Linked DNA regions of Caenorhabditis elegans. The protein of the gene in region 1 purifies or fractionates together with the protein of each later gene. This does not show direct contact. Each region holds a gene or a part of one and is shown in the gene's direction. Other genes may lie near its edges. The genes, in order: R07E4.3, immt-1 and kat-1.

What was found.
Region 2: the proteins of R07E4.3 (region 1) and immt-1 fractionate together in Caenorhabditis elegans (co-fractionation; one large-scale study listed by BioGRID). This does not show direct contact.
Region 3: the proteins of R07E4.3 (region 1) and kat-1 fractionate together in Caenorhabditis elegans (co-fractionation; one large-scale study listed by BioGRID). This does not show direct contact.

Annotation. Positions count from the first base shown.
Region 1 is NC_003284.9:5,950,233-5,955,750, forward strand, and holds R07E4.3 (Cytochrome b-c1 complex subunit 8), read left to right. Parts: upstream 1-3,225; coding exon 3,226-3,498; downstream 3,499-5,518. Other genes in the region: R07E4.5 (VWFA domain-containing protein), read right to left, coding at 1-96, 571-1,727, 1,781-2,132, 2,546-2,731, 2,777-2,938.
Region 2 is NC_003284.9:2,680,981-2,690,687, reverse strand, and holds immt-1 (MICOS complex subunit MIC60-1), read left to right. Parts: upstream 1-3,503; 5' UTR 3,504-3,530; coding exon 3,531-3,548; exon of another isoform or gene 3,549-3,612; coding exon 3,613-3,701; intron 3,702-3,747; coding exon 3,748-3,915; intron 3,916-3,967; coding exon 3,968-4,176; intron 4,177-4,221; coding exon 4,222-4,469; intron 4,470-4,937; coding exon 4,938-5,057; intron 5,058-5,107; coding exon 5,108-5,221; intron 5,222-5,650; coding exon 5,651-5,875; intron 5,876-5,942; coding exon 5,943-6,326; intron 6,327-6,412; coding exon 6,413-6,679; intron 6,680-7,362; coding exon 7,363-7,560; 3' UTR 7,561-7,934; downstream 7,935-9,707. Other genes in the region: T14G11.1 (Membrane-associated protein), read right to left, coding at 13-135, 182-341, 388-648, 1,419-1,551, 1,600-1,695; ser-7 (G-protein coupled receptors family 1 profile domain-containing protein), read right to left, coding at 8,541-8,580, 8,844-8,882.
Region 3 is NC_003280.10:7,072,227-7,079,195, forward strand, and holds kat-1 (Acetyl-CoA acetyltransferase homolog, mitochondrial), read left to right. Parts: upstream 1-1,587; 5' UTR 1,588-1,588; coding exon 1,589-1,798; intron 1,799-1,900; coding exon 1,901-2,164; intron 2,165-2,260; coding exon 2,261-2,413; intron 2,414-2,463; coding exon 2,464-2,599; intron 2,600-2,648; coding exon 2,649-2,988; intron 2,989-3,062; coding exon 3,063-3,183; 3' UTR 3,184-3,285; downstream 3,286-6,969. Other genes in the region: kars-1 (Lysine--tRNA ligase), read right to left, coding at 12-115; T02G5.7 (Acetyl-CoA C-acetyltransferase), read left to right, coding at 3,401-3,530, 3,580-4,127, 4,173-4,546, 4,718-4,838.

The DNA of each region.
Region 1 (5,518 bases):
GACAACTGTCTTTTCACGCTCCGTCAGCTCTTCAAAGATATCATCGTCGTTGACTATAGCTATCTGCTTTTCAAACTTTTCCCAAGTCATATCGAGCTAAAATTTATACTTTTAAGCTCAATGTTTAAGTTTATGGCCGAGTTGCACCAATGGACAAATTGTTAAAAACCACTCCTATGGTGCTAAAATTACCAAATCTCATAGTAAACTTTTTTTCAAAATTTTTTTGAAATTTTGTTGTTTTGAAAAGGGGCAATTACTCAGTGCTTGCTACGTTATCGGAAGCCGTCGATCAAAAAAATTCCCTTTGAACTTTATAGCCCACTTATGTTTCAAATATTCCCACATCATAGGACTTAAACATGCTACCGTGCTATAATTTTCCAAAAGTTACAAAAAAAACTCAGTAATTGCCATTTTCGAGTGTTAATAAAAGATTTTAAAGATTGTGTTGAAAATTTTAATTATGATATTTGGTCACTTTAGCACAATAGAAGTTGGCTTTAACAATTTTTCCATTGGTGCTACTCGAACTTTAATTTCTGTCCCAAATCGTATTCAAAATCTTACCACAATGATCTGAATATATTTCCCATAATCAAAAACATTCTCCTGTGACTGATTATCATCTGCGGCTGTTTCTTCACTCATTTCTTGCTTGATTTCTGCTGCTTTCAGCTCTGTCTGACCTTCCAAAGGAATTAACTTAACCGGCTGATCTTGATTCGTTGTCAAATCTTCCATTGGTGGTTCTTCCGGCACAACCGCATCGTCGACAATACAGCTTTCTTTCTTTACCTCCACAGGTAAAGAATCTTGTACCTTGTCTTGAGCACGAAGATCGACATCACCAACAGGAACTGCTACACGCAAATCAACATCTTGTGATCTGTAATCAACATCCTTGGGAGCTGATGGTTCACGCATATCGACGTCTTGTGTTTCGAGTGGAATTGTTGGAACTGTCGGAATGATTTTCACAGTTTGCGGGATAACGGGAACCATATCTGGAGACGCTGGACAATCCATCGGAGGACTTGCTGGAGAGTCATCTTCAGGTGCGGCAGCGGATTGAAGTTTGTCCTTCTCTTCTTCCAGTTTTTTAACAGCATGTTCTTCAAGTTTTGCTTTAAGCGTTTCTTCATCATAATAAGTCTTGTCATCTTTGTCAAATTCGCGGAGTCGAAGAATAACTGGTCTGCGTAACCCAGTGTAGCGCTCCGTTGCACATGCAACTAGGAACAATGGATCTGGTGTCCCATCTGCTGAGGCTTTTCCGTCTTCATTCTCTTTGGTTTCGGCTTCTTTGTCGTTTTTCACTTCAGAAAGTAGATCGCCATTTTTGGCGTCTTTTCCTTTCTTTGCATTTGAAGGTTCGAGGGTTTGCAATCTTCGCTTTCTCCCTCCTTTAGTCAAATTTGTTTTTTCATTTTTGACATTTTCGGCTGTAATTGGACCAGACTCTCCGTCTCCTTCGTAGCCGTTTTCATTGTTGGGAACAAGGTTTGGAAATTTTTTTTTCGGTGCTCGAGGTTTCACTGGAACAACTGGCGCAGTTGTTTCAGACTTCATGTCGTCAATTTCCTTTTTGATATCTTCATTGGATTTTTCAAGGCTTGTATCAGAACTCCGATCGTTTTCATCTTCTTTTTCCAGGAGTGCTACAGGCTTATCACCAATGATCTCTTTCAAAACACAATATGCGACTGCATTATTCACTTTCGAACCTGGAAATAGGACAGGTTAAATAATTAAAACATTTGCATATTACAGTAGTTACCTTTTTTGTCATAGCACTTGTCAATTGGAAGAAGGAAACTTCTCGTCAAAACTGAAATCGTTTCCAGTGGCTGATATGTTGATGTGCCAACAATGTCAATTTTGGTAAGTTCGTAGGGCACATTTTTTCTCACAGTACAAGGTGCAAGTTCTACTCCAAAAGAAGTCCCGAAATTGACCGTTGTGACGTAGTTCTCGGTAATCTTCTTGTGAATTGTCGCAGCTAGTTTTTTTGAAGTTCCGTGTTCAACCAGATGAACATCGCTTTTGAGTCGTTCAGAAATATTTAGTTTGATTCCAGAAAAATCGAGAAACGTCATCTTTTTGTGGTATTTGTGGAACATTTTGAGAATCTGAATTTATGATTGTTTTTTTTTTATTTCTTATTTAAAGGTAAAGTTTTATGGTGTTACAATGACTGAATATAATTTTGAAACTTTTCAAAACATTTTGGAAATTAATATTTTTGGCCAAAAAGCGGTGACAACCGAGCTTGTGCCACTCTTCGAGAAATGAAACACAAATCCCTACAATGTTGGAATATAAATATTTTCAACATGAATAACATAAAAAAGGAAATTATTATTTTTCATCGATAACTTCCAAAACAGACTGGTGAAAGCTTACTTTTCATCGCTTTTTTGAAGTTTTCCGAACACTGCCGAAATTTTTTTTAAATGATATTTAGTTATTTCAACACCAAAAGAGTGATTTTTCACAATTTCCTCTCTGGCGTTACTCCACCTTTAATGTGGTGACAACTTACTTTTTCATTAACAATAGTGGATACAATGAAAAATAACGCATTTTCATCCTCATCGGCGTCCAACGCAGTTTTCCAAAGCGAAAGAAAATCATTCTGATCTGATGGCTCAAAAATCATACTTTTCGAATCCTCAAACATCTTCAGTGCTTTTCCTTCTTCCAGTTCAATGTAATTATCACCAATGTGCTGAAAAAAGTGTAAACTTTATAAACTATTGCTTCAAAAACTCACAATATGAACTCTATCGATATAGGTCGGCTGATGATCTCCTTTTTTGCAAATTTCACGCAGAAAAATGTACGCATTCTCCATTGGTGTCGCATCACAATCGATAATTGCATGCATTTTTATACTCGCGTCGACTAAAAAGTGAATTTGGTTGGGAAACGGCATTCCTGAAAGAACAATATTCAATTTCTAAAATAGCATTTAAAAAGTAAAGAAATAAAAACCACACTTTGCAAAAAAATCTAAAAATTGGATAATAAATGAGGAAACTTAACGTATAACGACAGAGGCACCCTCCAAGGTGCACACATTTATACGGCCGGGTCTCGCAGCGTGTTCTCAATGGAGCGTCCTTGCACACCAACCAACTGAGGCGCTCGTCGCAACTGCTGTATACTTTTTCCATTGAAATTTACTTTAACTTCTTAATTTGTTTATTATTTCAGATAAAAATGAGGCCTTCAGCCGTTGCAATGGGAAAACATTTTGGAAATTTGGGAAAAATGTATGGAGAGCATAGATTTGCATTGGCTCCAAACGAACAAAAAGCTTATAAAGGATTCTTCGATCAGGCATTTGTGAGAACCTTCAAAACCTACGTTTGGGATCAATGGTACTACTACATTCCACAAACTATTGGTGCATATCTTCTCTACGATTGGGCCAAGAAGACAAATGTTGCTGCAAACCGCAAAAATCCAGCTGATTTTGCCAACGACGAATAACTTGTGGAAGAAGTTGGATTAGTTATTTCAATGTATTAATTGAAATCAACGTTGGAATTTTTTCTCAAATAAAATGTATTACTAGAATCACAATGTGTTTTTGTACACAAGCATATCAAAATATGATTTACTTTAAAACTGCAGTACAAGAAAAAAAGCTAATTATTTTGTCAGCTGATAATGTTTTCATACGTAAAAAATCAGGCGGGAGAACTGCCAAAGTTAAGCAAGGAAATACCAGACTAAAGGATCAAATGCGGTATTCTAATGTTTGATATAGTCAAATCAAACATTGCAAACATGCAAGATAGACTATTATTAGTATGTGTACGCATTAAAACAGTATAATCGGCAAGAACCTCTAATAATTCTTTCAAAAACGTTTGTAGTAGAATAATTAAACACTTGAATACATTTTAGATTTTTCAAAAACTTCAGTCAAAATTGTGGCAAGTTGCCAAATTTTCCGAAACAAAATTAGTAAACCGTAGGACGACTTCAAAAACAATTATATAAAAGAGCAAACTGAATTTTCACTACTTCGTGACTGCACATAAAACAATCGCAAACTTAAAAAATTTTTTGCTATTGTTTTTAGTCATTTCAGGAACGTGGGGAAAAATTAAAAAATATTCTCCAGAAAAAAGCAATTAGAAAAAGTCAAAGTTAATATTTTCTAAACAAAACTGTCATCCTAAAAAGATTTCAAACCACAAGTGGCAAACCACAGGTTTTGAAGCTGATCTATGCTGTCAGAAGATTTATACTTTTTTACATTGGTAACTAAAGAGATATGTAGAGCATGTATTTGCGTCTAGCAACCGTTTTGCTTGTTTTGTTGTTTCTATTCAAAAAAAAGTCTACTTCCAGACAGCTGAAAAATTAGTTACAAAATATTATCGCTGGCTGGTCAATTTTTCTTTCATTTATCTAAATTTAACTCGATTTGATCTTTCAACCTTTTATACCGCTCAAAAAATACTGTTAGTCTTTGTTTTATGGATACTTTTGACAGCAGCTTTGCCAAATATTTGATTTGTTATCTTCTGATTCGAACAAAACAAATTAAACGGAAAGCGTGAAAACCTTTGAAAGCAGATAATTGATTCATAATTCCGTAATATTCTCGAGCTTTCTTCTGTAAGGTTTTTCGATTTATTTACAGTTTCTGTCTCAGGAAATTGGCTGCTGAATTCAATTTTAAATGTTCACAATGTGGGACTTTTCATTTTCCTCTGAAAAAATGTTTCACCAACTTACACTGCAAGGATGGTGTTCTTTTTAAATATGTCCTAATCTATTCCAATCGTATTCCAATGGGTTAATATGATGTAGCACTCACTTATCGGAAATTTATTTTTTGGGTTTCTCTGAAAATTTGAACAGAAAATATGAACAATTTGTAAGAGTTTAATAGCTACCAAATTTTCAAAATTCGCGTTTTTGGCAATAGCGAGCACATTTTTGGCAATTCGAAAATTTGTCAATTATCAAGTAAACATTTTTTGAAAAGTATAAAGCACAACTCTTCTTTGGTCTGTTTAGTTGCAATTTTTAACATATTCGGCAGACTGCACTTTCTGCGATGATCAAATCTCGAAATCATTAAAAAGTGTCAATATATTTTTAAAAAATCTACAGTTATCATTTGAAAGTTTAGCAATAAAATTCCGCACAGAAAAGAACCACTCAACTTTTTCTTTGCCCATATACTCCAATTCACTAGTATTTTCTATTTCTCTACACTTTCTGCTCAATTAAAATTATTCTTATAATGTAGGAAACATATTGAAAAGAATTGGTAAATTATAAAAGAGAGGTACATTTCATCTCAGAAAATGATTCTGACTATAGAAAAAACCAAAGTAGTCATGAGAAATGACAAAAATGAATAATGAGCGCCTTAAAAGCGTATGATTTCACAATTTTCATTTGCCGTAGTTGACTTGTGCTTTTTGAGAGGTTTTGTATTTGAAATACTGGAACTTTTGTTAAGTAGCAAAATTTTTGGAGTTTCTAT
Region 2 (9,707 bases), 3.3 Mb from region 1:
AACATAACAAACCTCTCAAAATCAACGATCGGACAAACGTCCTCCGAACGGCGCCCTGCATCCCTCCATGAGCGTAGTGAGCGTGCACAAAGAAGACGCTGGTTGTCAATTCTGCGCATTCGAGTTTTGCGATTGCTGAAAATATGAAACACTTAAAATTTAAAAGAATACAAAAATTCACCTGTGACGAATGCTAGCCATTGCTGCAAGAAAGGACAAAAGACCAGAAATGCACACGAGGAAAACTCCAGCGCCAATGGCAACGATGTCGTCTTCGCGTTGGTCGGAAATGTCGGTTTGCGCAATGATGGCAATTGTGCAGCAGCAAAGAGTAAGCATCACTGAAAAAGTTAATGGAAATTGTTTGAAAAGAGCCCATCGCCATACTATTGGACATTTCCAAAATGGAATTACTGCGGAGCCACGCGAGAAATGGAGCTGGTGGAGGGAGAAGGCTCATGGTGGCACAAAGAGATGATGTTGCAGAAATTACAAAACAAAGAGCTATGAGAATGTAGAAATAGTTTGCTGTTGATGGTGTTATGCAGTCAACGAGAACTCGGGTCGGTGTATGAAATGCCACATGAGAGTTTCCAGCAGCATCGACATATCCTCCAAATCGGACGGCTTCCCAAAAATTGTGACATCCTGCAAATCAAATGTTTCATTCAATCTTTGATTTAAATGTGGAGTAGAGCCAGTATGGTGTCAAAATGTCCACAAATAAAAGTAACACGATTTTTAAAAAATTTTGACAAATTTTCGTCACTCATAATTTTGGAAGTTGACCAAAAATATGTATTTTCTACGACTTTCACACTTTTATTTTGTATTAATTATATCTATTGAAACATTCTAACATGCGACATTGCTCTGCATTTCTTTGAAATTTCATATTTTTCCAAAAGCTTAGCAATTTGCCAACACTGTGCTTAACTTTGTTTGGAGTGTTTTATTATTTAATCGGTCGTTTTAAATCATCATAAGTATACTTAAACAAAATCCACACTGGTGCTACTCCACCTTTGAAATTTAAAACTTAAATAGACCATAAATAATTTTTTTTGATCGACGACTTCCAAAAAGTGGCAAAAATTTAGATTTTTCCAATTTTCAAAAAAAAATCATATACAATTTTGATTTTTCTAAAGAACATTTTCACTATGATACCCCATCTTTAAAAAATTTCAAATGTTTTTGATTAAGTTTAAATTTGAAGTATCATTTCACTTTCAAGATACTGTTAATCGTGTTGATTTTAACATCGCATTCCGTTTTGTCAATATTGTATTACCAGCTTTTGATTCAGTTTTAATGTAAAAGTCATTACAAGAAAATGGTTTTTTGAAAAGTTTGCACAGTCATCTGCTCTCAGCTTCTACACAATTTATTTTTTTGCAATGCTAAACAAGACTTACCAATTGCATGACAGGGTTCTGTGTTCTTCATGTAAAGTTGAGCCACCTGCAAAGCGTCGATGTCGGTTGTGCCGTTTTTTGTGCTCATATCTTCAATGAGAATCCAGTCTGTAGACATCATTGCGAAAATTGCCTGAAATATTGGAGAATACTATTATTGAAGTCATGTGCAAAAGCTTACCAGAATAGCTGCAACGGTGTGGAAAGAGGCGGCTGGAATATTGGCATCACGAAAATCCATCCTAGTGCATAATGATCCAAGCTTGGAGAAAAACATTTTCTGGAAACGTCTAAATGGGACAAAGTAAGAGTTAAATAAGAAAGTAAAGAAAAGTTGACATAGAATTTTCTGTGACCCTGCCTCGGAATATTTATTCAATGTGCCTGCTGACGAAAAAAAAACACGAAAATGAAAAGAAGCAGCGAGCCCATCGAGCCCGAGGGAAATTGAGAAAAGAAAGAGAATCAATAGCGGCGGATGAGAGGGTGCAAACCCGAGGAAAAGGCAGCCCCACTCTCACTGCCACATCGCTTCGAGACCCTCGCTTCAAACTACGGTGAATATACTCTGCGTCTCTTAAGCATTGCTGGGCATGTTAAAATTCTTGCGCTTTAATAAGTTGTGTATGGTGACTGAGAATTTGTATATTTCAAAATTCTATTTGAATGGAAAGAGTTAATTGGAAGAAAAATGAAAAAAGAAATTGAAAATCAATTATTTTAAAAATAAAATATAAGTTCTAACACTACCAATTTCAAGTACACTGGCCTAACCAAACAAATGACCTTGGCGATTTTTTTTCAACATGAAATGCCCAGATACAAACACCATTTATCAATTGTACACTGGTTTCTAATGGTTTCTACTATTTTTTTAGTGCATTATCAATTTTTAAAAATTTCCGGTAAAGTGTACATATCAGGGGTGCGCGGCAATTTCGGCAAATCTACAAAATGAGCCAAAATGAGCAAAAAGTGATATATTTTATTAAATGTTAAAAATAAAATATAGAAAAACACTTTTTTTTTAATCTAAAAGTAATGTTTTATTTAATATGAAACAACTGTAAAAATGCTCAAAAATAGTATGCAAGTTGAAAATTGCCGGAAATTATTTTCCATAATTTGTGGGATATTTTTCCGGCTCTTATTAAATTAGAGACAATTTCTAAGCAGTTTTTTATTTTTATTTTTATGAATTATATTAAAGATGTTTTCAAATAAAGCAAACATTTTTCTGAAGTTTAAGGAAATATCTGGTACTATATGCTGCACTTTTGCTGCACTTTTTTGCGTACAAATGTTGATTTCTAAATTGAAAAGTTACACAGAACAGTAAAAATTCATGTTGCATAAAATTTTAGGACGTTTATGGCACTTCAAATATCTTTAAATTTGGCCACTTTTCCAAGTCGTAGTAATCCAAAGCTGCTATTTTAATACTATAATTTTTTCCTATCGGTTTTAAATGTATTTTAATTAACAAAATTACGGTACTTCTGTAGTGTTTACAATTCTGAAAAATTAACGTTACCCTTTTTGTCGATATTAGGCTTAGGACTAAAGTTTTTTTAAGCTTAAAAATACAACCAAATTCCGCGTTTTGATTAAATAATCACTTTTAAAAGTGTTGGAAAATTTTTATGGACCAGGTGTGCGATACGGAAAAATGGCCGAAATTGGAGATTTCACTTGAAATACGTTTTTTTTTCGAAATTTTCAACCGGCAAAAACTACTTTTTGAAAATTTTTAATGAAGTTTCATTATAAAATTCGTTTATTTGAGCTCATTTTGGGTTTATGCGTTCAAAATGTCCCAAACGTTTAATGCATCGGCAATTTCCCTTTGTTTCCCTGCCACACTCTTCCAATGCCTCCCCACACAGCCATTCTTCCCGTCGTCCCGTACGCACTTACAAAAGATACACAGACATCGATTGCTGGCGCGTTTCTCGTGCATGACGCGCAACTTAATCTTCGAACACTAAACAATATGTTTATTTCTTTTTCGATTGCACTCTCTTGATTATTTTGATTTTTTCTTGATTTATATAAAATTTCGTTGTAAAATTTATTACTTTTTAGGTAAATTATTCGCTGCTCGTCGCGGAAATGTTTCGTATTGCATCGGTGAGTTTTTTTTTCATTAAAAAAATGCAATTTTTAGTTTAAATGTATAATTTTTTCATTTCAGAAGCGATCAGTCAGCCAGACGTTGAAAAGAGCCCGTCAACAATCAAATCAAGCCGCTGCTCCACCGAAGCCACCAGTTCAACCACCAAAGTAAAACATACACCAAAATCGATAATAAAAACGCGTCGTATTTCAGAAAATCCGGAGGTGGCAAAGGATTGGCTCTTGTCGGAGCAACCGTTGTTGGAGCTGGTGGTGTTGTCGGATACGCGTATGTCGACCCTGAGTTCCGTCACAAAGTCGAATCCACTGTTCCGCCAGTGAAACAAGTTTTCGACGCAGTTTTGGGAGAATCTAGCTTGCAGTAAGCTTTATTTACTAAAAAAGTGACAGTCTTAACGATAATCCTTTTTCAGGAAGACAAAACAACAGATCGGTGACCTCAAGGATGCTGTAGTGAACGCTGTCCCAAAAAAGAAGGAAGTTCTTCCTCCATTGGAGCTCGCGCCACTGCCGCCTGTCCTTCCAAGAGAGCCCACACATGTTGACCCAGTGGATGTTCGCAAAGATGTGACCCCAATGATCCCAAAACCTTCTCCAGATGTCGTCTTTGCCAAGAACCAACGTAAGATTTTTTAAGCGTAATTTTCATAACAGTTTAAAGTTACAGAACTTGAGGAGAAGCTTAAAATCGCAATTCACTCTGCTGAAGGAAAAGTGCGTTTAGCCACTGAGGCCAAGCTGAAGACCATCAATGCGATCAATGAGCATGCCAGTATTCTCAAGCAAACCGTCGATGATGCTAAGCACGCCAACTGGGAAAACGTCACTTCTGCTCTTCAAAGAGCCGAAGCTGAGGCACGCGTCGACAGTGGCCAAGAGGTGGACGGGAGAAACTACATTGATAACCTTCGCAAGGTATCTTTTGGTACAGCCTAACACCCAAAAAAAAATTTATGTTTGAAATTTTGAACCGCAATGACACAAAATTTTTAAATTTTTTGAGAAACTTCATTGCGAAATTCTTTTAATGAGCACATTTTGGTCTTACACCTTCATAATAAAATACCCAGAGTCGTTAGACCATTGGAAACTAGGACTTGACTAAACCGGACTAAATCTGTCGTCCGGTCTGCGGAAGTTCGGCTATCTAGTGCCTGTTTTTGAACTGCTACACAAGTTATTATGTGACAGGTCCTATGATTTTTGTCTTGTTGCAATACTTCGACCCTGTTTTTTTTTCAAAATTTGTAAAAAGGACCTCTTCCAAGCTCATTTACGAAAAGGAATTAAATGCAACTGAAAATAGAGACGCTTGTTTAATATTTGATTAAATGCAAATTTTTAATAATAACTATTTATTTTTCTCAATTCGGACATTTACAGATTGTGAACGATGGAAAGCGAGATTCAACTACCGCCACAAATCCGCTACTTCTGAATGCTCAAGAGACTGCTAATAAGCTTTCTCATCAGCTTGATGAGATCAACGCATTGGTCAACAAGGTATTACATGCATTGGCACTTTTACCAAAAATTGTCAAAATTGTTTTCAGTCTCGTCAAGAATCTGCAGTCCTCAATCAGTACAAGGATTTGATTGAGAAGTCTCGTCAACAGTTTGCTCTTGAGATGAAGAGCATCTTGCCAAATGTTGATATTCACGCTAAAGTGAGTGACGAAAAAAATAGAAGGAATGGAGTCCATCCTCGGTTTTTTATAAAATAATGAATTTCTGTAATAGGCTCAAATGAGCCTATGATTTTGCTAAGGTGCATTTATGAAATTTTTGTAGTCAAAAGCAAAAATTATATTTATAGTTGATATGTACTCTCGGTAAAGTCAGAAGAATACAACATACCTTTAGTACAAATAGTTACAGTACAAATATATTTGAGATCACAATTTTTACAATTTTTTATAGATGCTGACTGATTCAGGAAGATATTTCAGCTGAGGATTTGATAGGAAAGGCTTCTGTTATTTTTCACAAATTGAAAGTCGAATATCAAACGTTTAAAATTTTTGACTAAACGAAAAGCCTTTTTGACATTGTTTCCTAAAATACAAATTTGAAAGTTCACATAAATTCATTTTCAGGACAAAAATCTCAACGAAGACGAACTGAATGCATTGATCGCTCACGCTCATCTCAAAGTTGACCAGCTTCGTTGTCAGCTTTCGGATCAGCAAGTTCGCGAGGAACTGCACATCTCAAAGGCTCTTGAAGAGCAGCGACTTGCCGATGAGCGGATCGCGTCTGAAAAATTGAGCATTGAGATGAGCCGTGTTGGCCGTCAGAATGAGTTGGAAATCGAACGAGCTGTAAGTTTGTTATCAAATTTGGGGTTAAAAGTTGTTTTTCCTCAAATATTCCACTTTTTGATTTCAGCTTGTGGAAAGCCGTTCATCATGGGAAGGTGAGCTGGAGAATCAATTGAAGCGCACCGCCTCGGCTCACTCTGAGCACTTGGAGCAAGTCATCCGGACTCAGAGACAACTCTTCGAGATTGAACAGAATCAGAAGGTAGAGGAGGCAGTTTTGCAAGAGCGCAATCTTCACAGCAAGCAAGTTGGTGCTGCGTTGAGCCGACTGGAGGGAATCGAAGAGGCTCTCGGAAGCCGAGTTGCTCTTGACAACGAAAACCGTCGCGCCAAGCAGTTCTGGATTGCGTGCCATAATTTGATTGACACTTTGAAACATGGTAACAAGGCCGGAAACAACATTGATGAGAGAAGACTTCCATTGAACGAGTCTTTGAATCTTCTCAAGGAGGTTAGCGAGTTTGTCAACGAAATCAACTTTTTTACATTTTGTTACTATTCTACATTTTCATTTTAATCTGAATTTATCGTTTTCAGGTCAATCCAGAAGACGAGTTTGTCAACGCCATCATCGACTCGTTCCCAAAACAAGCGACCACAGTTGGCACATACACTGAGCAGGATCTCAAAAACCGCTTCGAGCAACTGTACAAGATTGGTCGCAAGACTGCTTCTATCGATGAGAACGGAGGAACCTTAGGAGCCTATTTCTGGTCGTACGTCAAATCCCTGTTCCTCGTGGATATGCCACAACAGTATGGAAATTTAGATGCTATTGATGTGAACAACACTGATAACTATGAGGTGAGGATAGATTTGAGTACAGAATACATTAGAGTGGGTCATAATTATGCGGATACGTAAACAACTCTGCTCTGCAACCCCTAGGTGATTGAACATGATACATAAAATTGTATAGCTCACATATTCCATAAAAATCTGGTCATGATTCCATTTAAAAAATTTAAAAATATTTCCATCCACGTTGCTCCTGACTCTTAGAAATTTTGAGGTTGGATTTTTGGCAGCAGATTAGCAGATCACTTTTGGCGTTTTCCACTGTTTTTTTTTTAGAATCCGGCAGAAATTCCGTACTTTTATAAGAATACTCCAGATTGTGAGATACGCTCGTATGACTTCGTGGTTGATTAGTAGTCATGTTAAATATCATTAAAAATATGTCAGCTTTAAGTAACGTAATGAACCCACGTTTAAAAACTGTCAGGTTTGTAAAAATCGGGCTTTTGTCTTCATAACTCGGGTCTCTATAAATATGACCCCGTTGTGAAAAATAAATTTGATTCGAATGGCAACATTCTTATTCCGATCAAAAAAATCAAAATTCTTATCTCATAATTTTTATTAAAATGCTTGTTCTTTATTCCGAGAGCTTCCCAGTCCCGTACGATGTCCGTACAAAAAATATCAAGTTTTTTTAAAATTAGAATTCAAACGTTTTGTAAGACTAGTGAAACATTTTTGTTCAGATCCTTTCCCGCGCCAAGCAGTACGTACACAATGGTGATCTCGATAAGGCGATTCGCGTTGTTCAACTTTTGAAGGGTCAGCCAGCTCATCTTGCTCGTGACTGGATCGTCGACACCCGCTCCTACCTCGAGTCTCGCCTTCTCGCCCAGCTTCTTGTGGCTCACGCCGCCGTCTCCTCGATTCGCTCAACTTATTAGAACAATTGATTGTCTTGCGTCACCGTTTTTTAAAATTGTGTTCTACTGGTTTTCACTACACTCATTTTATTTTTCTCTATTTCTCACCCTATTTAAAACGATCCAAATGTTTTAAAAACGTTTTGCTGCTAGTAGTATTGTGTGTGTGTCTTTTAGAAACCAATTTCTTGTTGGTAGTTTATAGTAGATGGGTGTGTGCACATTTTCTCCCCGTTTTTTTTTCCAAACTCTCGCCGTCAATTTTTTCCAAGTTTGTGTAGTTTTTCGAACCGTCGATGTATTGAATAAATGTGAAAATTTTACAATTTTTTACCAGAAATAAGTATGATTTGTAGAAGTTTGAGACAAACAAATAAAGAATCTCTAGAAGTGCAGTTGCGGCAGTTGGGGAAATTGTTAAAAGTCACACTTATGGTGTCAAAAGGAAATTCATTTGTTTTTATACAATTTTTAGACATCGGGTGGTTAACAAATTGATCCAAAAGACCGAATTTACTAATGAGATATTTTAAATGATATCCAAAAAAATTTTTGAGGTTTAAAAAAAATAAAATTTCAAATTTGAACAATTTATCCGTCTATGTAGTTGCGATTTTACAAAAAAAATTACATTTTTGTCGTAATTTCAAACTGCCGAAACAATTTTTTTTCTAGTCAAAGTTTTGGCGAATTGCTATACTTTTCAAAACAATATGTAACCAACATTTTCTGTTTTGATGGACTTCCAAAATTATAGGTTGTTATACTGTCCAATACATTTATTCAGAAGTTATAAAACTTTATACAAAGTTGAGGCAATAGGTGTCACACACCTTCTGAAATGCACATAATTGCAATGCTAGAAAGCATGAGAAGCATTATACAACGGGAGAGGAAAGTCACGTAACCTTACTTGTGTACCGACAAATTGAAAATGAGAATAAATCAGATGAGAAAAAAATAGTTAATAAATTATGAAATGGTACATAATGTGTAGTGTGCTAGACGTCACTTGCTTCGTGACTGTCATTGCGTCGAGATCTGAAAATATCATACGTACAATTTTGAAACAGTGTCACGTGCAAAGAATCAAAATCATTTCACTTTAGAAGTAAAACTCATGCAAAACGTTGAATGTTTGGAAGCAAATCGCAAACCAACACTGAGAAAAAATCGCATAAAATCGCAAACTCCATGCTTTTAAAAAGAAGAAAAAGGTAACACTCGAATAGAAGAAAGAAAAGTTAAAAACGTGATGTAGTATATAACAGTTGAGATATATGGATAAGTAGGGTTATACTCACAGAAGCGGTCGATAGCTGGAAGATTGGGTTCGGTAGCGACTGTAAACGCGCAGAGTCAAAGAAATTAATAACCTGGTGTTGTGTTTGGCCGTTTGACGCGGATTCTCTATCAATAGACTGTTGTGGTGTGATTGTGAAAAGTGGCACGGATGGTGTTTTTCTAGGTTTCAAACATAATTCTGATGGAAATTCAACCCAAACAGCTTGTAAGAAAGACCATCCCACCCACATTCCTTATTAACACGGGAGACTTTTAAAAGTGGAGTTGCGCCAGTTTGATGGTTCCAAAATGACCAAATATCATAGTGAACTTGAATAATAATTTCAAAAAAACAGGGTGTATGGTGCGTTCTGCTGTGATAAAACTAATTTTTAAAAATTCACGTTTGCAGTTTTTGGATAGGTATACAAGAATGATTGAAAATTGCTCTTTACTGTATAAAAATTTCAGAAAAATGACAAATGTTTCAATAAGTTTTAGGATGGTTTCTGCACTTTGCACATGTTCTTAGAATCTGGAGTCAATTTATTATTGATTAAAATTTTACAGTTCTAAAAACTTTTAACTAATTTAAGTTTATGATATACTCCTAACACAGCTAATTTTCAGCGCCAACTTTTGGGAAAAAGTCAATTTAATTTTTGGAATCCGGAGATCCTAAGGTAGGCTATTTTTTTTATCTTAGACTTCCAAAAAAAAAATGGCGAAAACTGAGTAGTTACCACCATTAAAAAAAAAGTTTTTTTGAAAAAAATTGTGAGCTTTACTATGATATTTGGCCATGTTGGCAACATTTGCGAGGTTTCTAACAATCCCTTCACTGGCGCTACTCAATCTTCAATGAATGTAAACTCTGTCTCCTT
Region 3 (6,969 bases), on another chromosome or scaffold:
CGTCGACTAACCGAGTGTTTTGGCTCAGAAAAACTGACGTCCCGAAAAATGAAGACGACCTACGTCGCAAGAATGAAACAGCCGATCGGCTCAACATCGAATGAGACACGATCATCATTTTTCTCACTTACTTCTTACTCAATTTGGCCTCTGGCTCGCTCATTGCCCTGTGACAGTGCTTGAAAGTGGCTGAAAAATAATAATCAATTAATTTAAGAAAAATTGCATGGAATTATGGAAATAAAGCAGAAAACGGAACAATTCAACTCATGTTTTTAGAAAATCCTAAAACTAAAGCGAAATATCTCAGTCTGAAGATTAGGGAAATTAAGACACACTTGACGCATTTTTATTGTTGTCTCAGATAAGTTTGTATCGGAATTATGGACAAAAAGCGAAAAATCTAAATGAAAATGAGCTGAAAACATCTCAAAATGCATTTTAAAATGCTCAATTCCTCCCAAATTTTGTAGCGTTCGGACATTGGCTTTAGAGCGCGTTTGTATTTAATGAGGAAACGGAAAACGGAGGAAAGAAATTTAGAGATTCGATGGTAGTTTTTGGAAGGCTATCTTTATTATTTAACTCAAAAAGTTATTCAAAGCTTTAAAATAATATTTTCAATATTTTAAGCAAAGTTTTTATTAACGCATTCAATGGATAAAACGCGCATGAATGAAGCAGCATTTCTACGGAATACATTTCTCCAGTGTCGGTAGTGTCTCCAATTTAGAACTTTCCAAAGTTCATTCAACCATAAGCTAGTAATTTAATTTTTGTTTTGTTTTATTTATAAAGCACAAAGCTTATCAGAGTTGCGTTTTCTTGTTTAATCTGATGGAAAGTGTTGCAATATTTGTTGTGAAATCATTTGTTTTAGTTAAAAAAATATCAGTAAGAAAACTGATTATTCGAAATGGAGCATTTTAAAATTGTTAGGCGAATATTGAATTGTTGATTAAAATATATATCAAACTTTTAAAAATCGCGTTTGATGTTCATAATTTTTAGGCTGTAAATCTAATTTATGATTATCTCCCCTATTGTAGCACTTTAGGTGTTAGAAAATGGCAGTTCAGAGACAGTTCAACGTTTTTGCATCGAAATGTTGTGTAATGATAGTTTATATTGTCATCATCATTTGATCTTAGATATATGAACATTGCTCTCACTCTCTTTCTTTACTGTCTCCAGTGTGATGTCACAGAAGAACAGTTGACTTTCAATTGCACGTGGGAACTCTTGAAAAGCAAGTGCAACTCCTGTATGAAAGAATCAAGGAGCTCCTAGGAGTATCGAAACCGCCAAAGTTCACAGCTACACGTAACTAATCTCAATTCTTTTATGAGAACGACAAAACCTTATTAGCACTACTTTTGACTAGAAAATCTATATCTCTCTTTCCTTCTTTTTTTTTACAGAAAGTGCAATTTCGCTCCACCGCCGTACTAGCTTTTCTATTTAACCATCATAATCTTTCCTTTCTTCTGTTCTGTCTCTCATTCATCTCGATCCGAACGAATTTCTTCATTCTCTTATCTTATTTTCAAAAACAAGTTGTGTCGAGTCAATTCTTTTTTTTTTCAGAATGTTGTCATCGTCTGGACACGCAATTCGCCGCGGAATCACCACATCTGCTGCACTATCAAACAAACATGCTTTCATCGTCGGAGCCGCCCGTACACCTATTGGATCATTTCGTTCTTCTCTCTCTTCGGTAACTGCTCCAGAGCTCGCCTCGGTTGCCATCAAAGCAGCATTGGAGCGTGGAGCAGTGAAGCCGAGTTCAATTCAGGAGGCGAGTGTGTTCTTTGTTTGCATTTTTCTATACTAGTAATATCTGAAATTCTATATCACTTCCAAAAACTACCGATTTAATCTTAAAATGCCTCAATTTCAGGTGTTCCTTGGTCAAGTCTGTCAAGCAAATGCTGGTCAAGCTCCCGCTCGTCAAGCAGCTCTTGGAGCCGGACTCGATCTTTCGGTTGCTGTTACCACCGTCAATAAAGTGTGCTCTTCTGGGCTGAAAGCAATCATTCTTGCTGCCCAGCAAATTCAAACCGGTCATCAAGATTTTGCCATTGGCGGAGGAATGGAGAGCATGTCACAAGTACCATTTTATGTTCAAAGAGGAGAGATCCCATATGGTGGATTTCAAGTGATTGTGAGTTTAATTTATTTTTCTAAAAAATATTAAATTGTCTAAAAATAGTCTTTAAACTTCTTTAAAAGAAATCAATGCTCACATTTTCTTATTCAGGATGGAATCGTCAAAGACGGACTGACCGATGCTTATGATAAAGTTCACATGGGAAACTGCGGAGAGAAGACTTCAAAAGAAATGGGAATTACACGTAAAGACCAAGACGAATATGCTATCAACAGCTACAAAAAGTCAGCTAAAGCATGGGAGGTTTGTCAACTGATTGCTCTTTGTGCGTTTTATGATTCCATGTTGTTTAGAATGGAAATATCGGACCAGAAGTGGTGCCAGTGAACGTCAAATCAAAGAAGGGAGTCACGATTGTTGATAAAGATGAAGAGTTCACAAAAGTCAATTTCGACAAGTTCACCTCGCTGAGAACTGTTTTCCAGAAAGGTTTGTACTATTCTTATCGTGAAAATTGAAATCAACATAATATATTAAGACGGAACTATCACTGCTGCTAATGCTTCAACATTGAACGACGGTGCAGCTGCTGTCATTGTTGCCTCACAGGAAGCAGTTTCCGAGCAAAGCTTAAAGCCTCTGGCCCGAATTTTGGCTTATGGAGATGCCGCCACGCACCCACTCGATTTCGCTGTAGCACCAACTTTGATGTTCCCAAAAATTCTTGAAAGAGCAGGAGTGAAGCAATCAGATGTTGCTCAATGGGAAGTTAATGAAGCCTTCTCATGTGTTCCCCTTGCTTTCATCAAAAAACTAGGAGTCGATCCATCCCTTGTGAACCCACATGGAGGAGCTGTTTCAATTGGTCACCCCATCGGGTATGTTGCCATATCAGTTGACCGTTCTTTCCGCATTCTTATCGTAAATTTGTTATCGATTATTTTTCTTTCAGAATGTCCGGAGCCCGCCTCATCACTCATCTTGTGCACACACTCAAAAGTGGCCAAATCGGAGTTGCTGCCATTTGCAATGGAGGTGGTGGCTCAAGTGGAATGGTTATCCAGAAATTATAGATTTATAATTTAACTTTTTTCGTTTAAAGTTTGTTACCTTTTTTCACGATTAGCTTGTATTTATGTATTTTTCGCTCATATCGAAACTCCGGTAAATAGATTCATTTATTATTTTGATTATCTACTTCTCTTTCATTGGTTTCAAACCAATTTCAGTTATCTTTTTTTATTCGTATGCGATTTTTCTAATAATCCAAAGTTCAGACAGTCTATCGCAATGTCGGATAAAAAAGTTTTCATTCTGAGTGGAGCTCGCACTCCCATCGGAGCTTACCGAGGATCTTTCGCTAACTTTGGCGCAGTTGAGCTCGGAACGGTCGCTGCAAAGGCAGCAATTGAACGATCAGGTTAAATTACTGATAATGAAATTTTGAAACAAATATTAAATATTTTTAGGAGTTGCTCCGGAGAAAATCGAAGAAGTAATTGGTGGATGCGTACTTCCGGCCGGTCTAGGACAAAATGTGACCCGACAGATCTCTTTGTCGGCTGGTCTTCCAGTAACAACGCAAGCTGTTACGGTGAACAAGGTTTGCTCTTCTTCGATGAAAGCCTTGGTGACAGCAGCTGTGGAAATCAAAGCAGGATATTATGACACTATTCTTGTTGTTGGAACTGAAAATATGAGTCAAGTTCCATTTTACGTGCCGAGAGGAGAAATTCCATTTGGAGGAATCCAGATGACAGATGGAATCTCGAAGGATGGACTTGAAGATATTAAAGAGAAAGGTCCAATGGGATTATGTGCTGAGAAGACTGTAAAAGATTATGGAATTACTAGAGAAGAACAAGATGCATATGCTATTGAAAGTTATAAAAAAGCTTCAAATGCATGGAGTTCTGAAAAGTTTTCGGAAGAAGTGGTACCAGTTAGTGTTAAGACTTCGAGATCGGAAGTAGTGATCACTGAAGATGAGGAGTATAAGAAACTGATCGAGTCAAAGGTATGCAGAAAGAAAATGTTTATCAAAAATATTAAACTTATTTAGGTTTCCTCTTTGAAACCAGTCTTCGTTCGTGACGGCACTGGAACCATCACACCGGCCAATGCATCTTCGCTTAATGATGGAGCTGTCGCAACTGTCGTTGTCGGAGAGAATGCTCTTCCACAAGGAGCTCATCCACTTGCTGAACTCGTGGCATTTGCTGAAGCTGGAAGAGCTCCCATTGATTTCACCGTGGCACCAGTGGACGCCGTTCGTCTTCTTCTCAAAAAAAGCGGGCTCCAAGTTTCAGACATTGCATTGTGGGAGCTCAACGAAGCATTTGCCGTCACTGTTCTTGCTTTCATCAAAGAACTTAATATTGAGCCAAGTGTTGTTAATGTAAAAGGAGGTGCAGTAGCGATTGGGCATCCACTTGGGTAAGTTTTTTTGTTGATTCAAACTTCAGTGAGCGTTTTCGGAAAAATTAGAATGTGTACAGAGAAAATTCTGATAGCAAAAAAACATTCTAAAACACAAAAACAAAACATACAAATTTTAAAGTAAACTTTAAGTCCGAACAAACCTATATTAATTTTAATAATTTTCAGAATGTCTGGTCTCCGAATCGTCAACTCCCTTGCATATTCTTTAGCTCCAGGACAGCTCGGTGTAGCTGCAATTTGCAACGGAGGAGGAGAAGCCACAGCAGTGCTCATCAAAAAACTGTAATATGAACCTCTTGCCTAAATGTTTTCTGGTCTTCTATTCATCATTCCTTGATTCACTTTTACAACAAATTTCGATTACGTATTTATAAATAGTTAAGGTTCTTGTCACATAAATGTTTATTCTCAAATGGTGCATACGTGTTATTGATTGGGAAATGAATTAAGGTTAATATGTACATTATCAGGAATGGTTTTGAGCCATCTCAAAAGAGATATACTGGAAAAATCGGAAAAGCATTTTTCTTTTGAGATATATCATTCATTCACGTCTTCAAGGCAAAACATATAAGGGGAGATCGTATACAAATAATCACAGGGAAGAATTGGTGGATGATAAAATGATCCCATAAACCATTATTAGTTTGAGAGATCAAGTTGGGGGAATGAGAATATTAAGGGGGGAAGAATTTAACCGGGAAGCAAACATAGAGCGATTTAATTTTTCCGGGATTTGCTTTGCTAGGCGGTTCCAGGTGGCGAGGTTGGCTCTGAGGAATCCTTTGTTTGTTTCGCCAACAGATCTGAGCATGTAGGGGTATCTTGGAGTTACAGCTTTCTTCACCGACGATGACACATTTGGGTAGTGGAAGTTTCCAGTTATGATGTTGTGGTAGGTGCGAAGGATCTGCAAGACCCGCCTATATTGCACTGACTTCAAATTGGCTTGGGCCAAACGATCCTCGTATGAAGAATACTTTATGTTGCAGCGTTGGAAGACGAGCCTGGTGAAGAAATGAGATGAATCAATAAAGGCTATGAACGGGTAACTCAATAAAGTATCTTCCTGGACTGGGATGATTCCGAGAAAACAATCACAAACGATACGGTAATGAATAGGAATCCATTGATTTCATTTTATCTGTAATTTCAGTGTCTGACAAGAGATCGTCGTTTCGGAATTATTACAGGCCCAAATATGGCTGGAAAGTCAACATATCTGAAACAAGCTGCCCAACTAGCAATCATGGCATAGGTAGGATGCTTCATTCCAGCAAACTATGCTTCGTTGCCAAGTAACCTAAAAGTTTTGATTTGCTATTTTCTATCGTCGAATTAATTTCAGTTTTTAATCGTATCTTCTCCAGAATGGGTCATAACGACGAGTTGATCAGAAATAAGTCTGCATTTGCATCTGAAATGTCAGATGCAGCTGCAATCGTACAGTATGCCGATAAAAACTCACTTGTAGTTCTTGATGAGCTAGCACGAAGCACATCGACTGAAGAAGGAATCGCCATCACCTATGCGATTTGTGAGAAGGTTCTAAAGTTACATGTGCTTGTAAAAACAAAAAAACGAATTGTAAATTTTTATTTTCAGAGCTATACCTTCCTGGCTACACATTTTCTCGATATTGCAGCTCTCGCCAACTATTCAAATGCAATTGACAAGTGATTCTACAACTCTACAACTATTTCTTTCGAAACTTCTTTCTTTCAGTTACCACTTTCTTCCACAAATTGATGACAATTCGACGAAAAAGCACAAGTTGTTACGTGGATAATATAGAGACCATTATACGGTATGAATAATTCATTATTAGCAGAAAAAGTAAATGATAGACCGTAGAAAAGTGTGAGATGGGAAATTTGGAATCAATAAAGGCTATGAACGGGTAACTCAATAAACTATCTGTTTGTGAAAGCTTGTAGAAAATAAACGAGTTGGACCCGATATAAAAAAGTATTGAGAAATTGGATCTTCTAGAAAGAATCTTCGGATGATGCGTAGATCTTCTGAATTAATGAGGAATGCTTGTAAAATTGATAACGACTGCGCTGGAATCGGCGGTTTTCGAAATCTCGGCTGAAATCCTCATTGAAGGACAACTGGCTCGACGGCTTCATTGGGCAGTACCTGAAATGCTCACGTTAGAAATATATTGAATATACAGTGTGGGAAAGTTCTATAGGACCCCCCCTAATTTGAAGGTTTGAGGAACTTCCGAAAATTTTTTCGAAAAACTGCTAATGCCGTTCGTTTTTAAATTGAAAAAAACCTATATAAATTTTTTTCCAGAAGTTTATCTCAAAAACTGAGGTCGCGCTGGAAAAAACGTCAAAATCCAGTGTGAAACTTCTATAGGACCCCCCGTTTTTTTTCACGATTTTTACTAAAATCAACAGATTTTG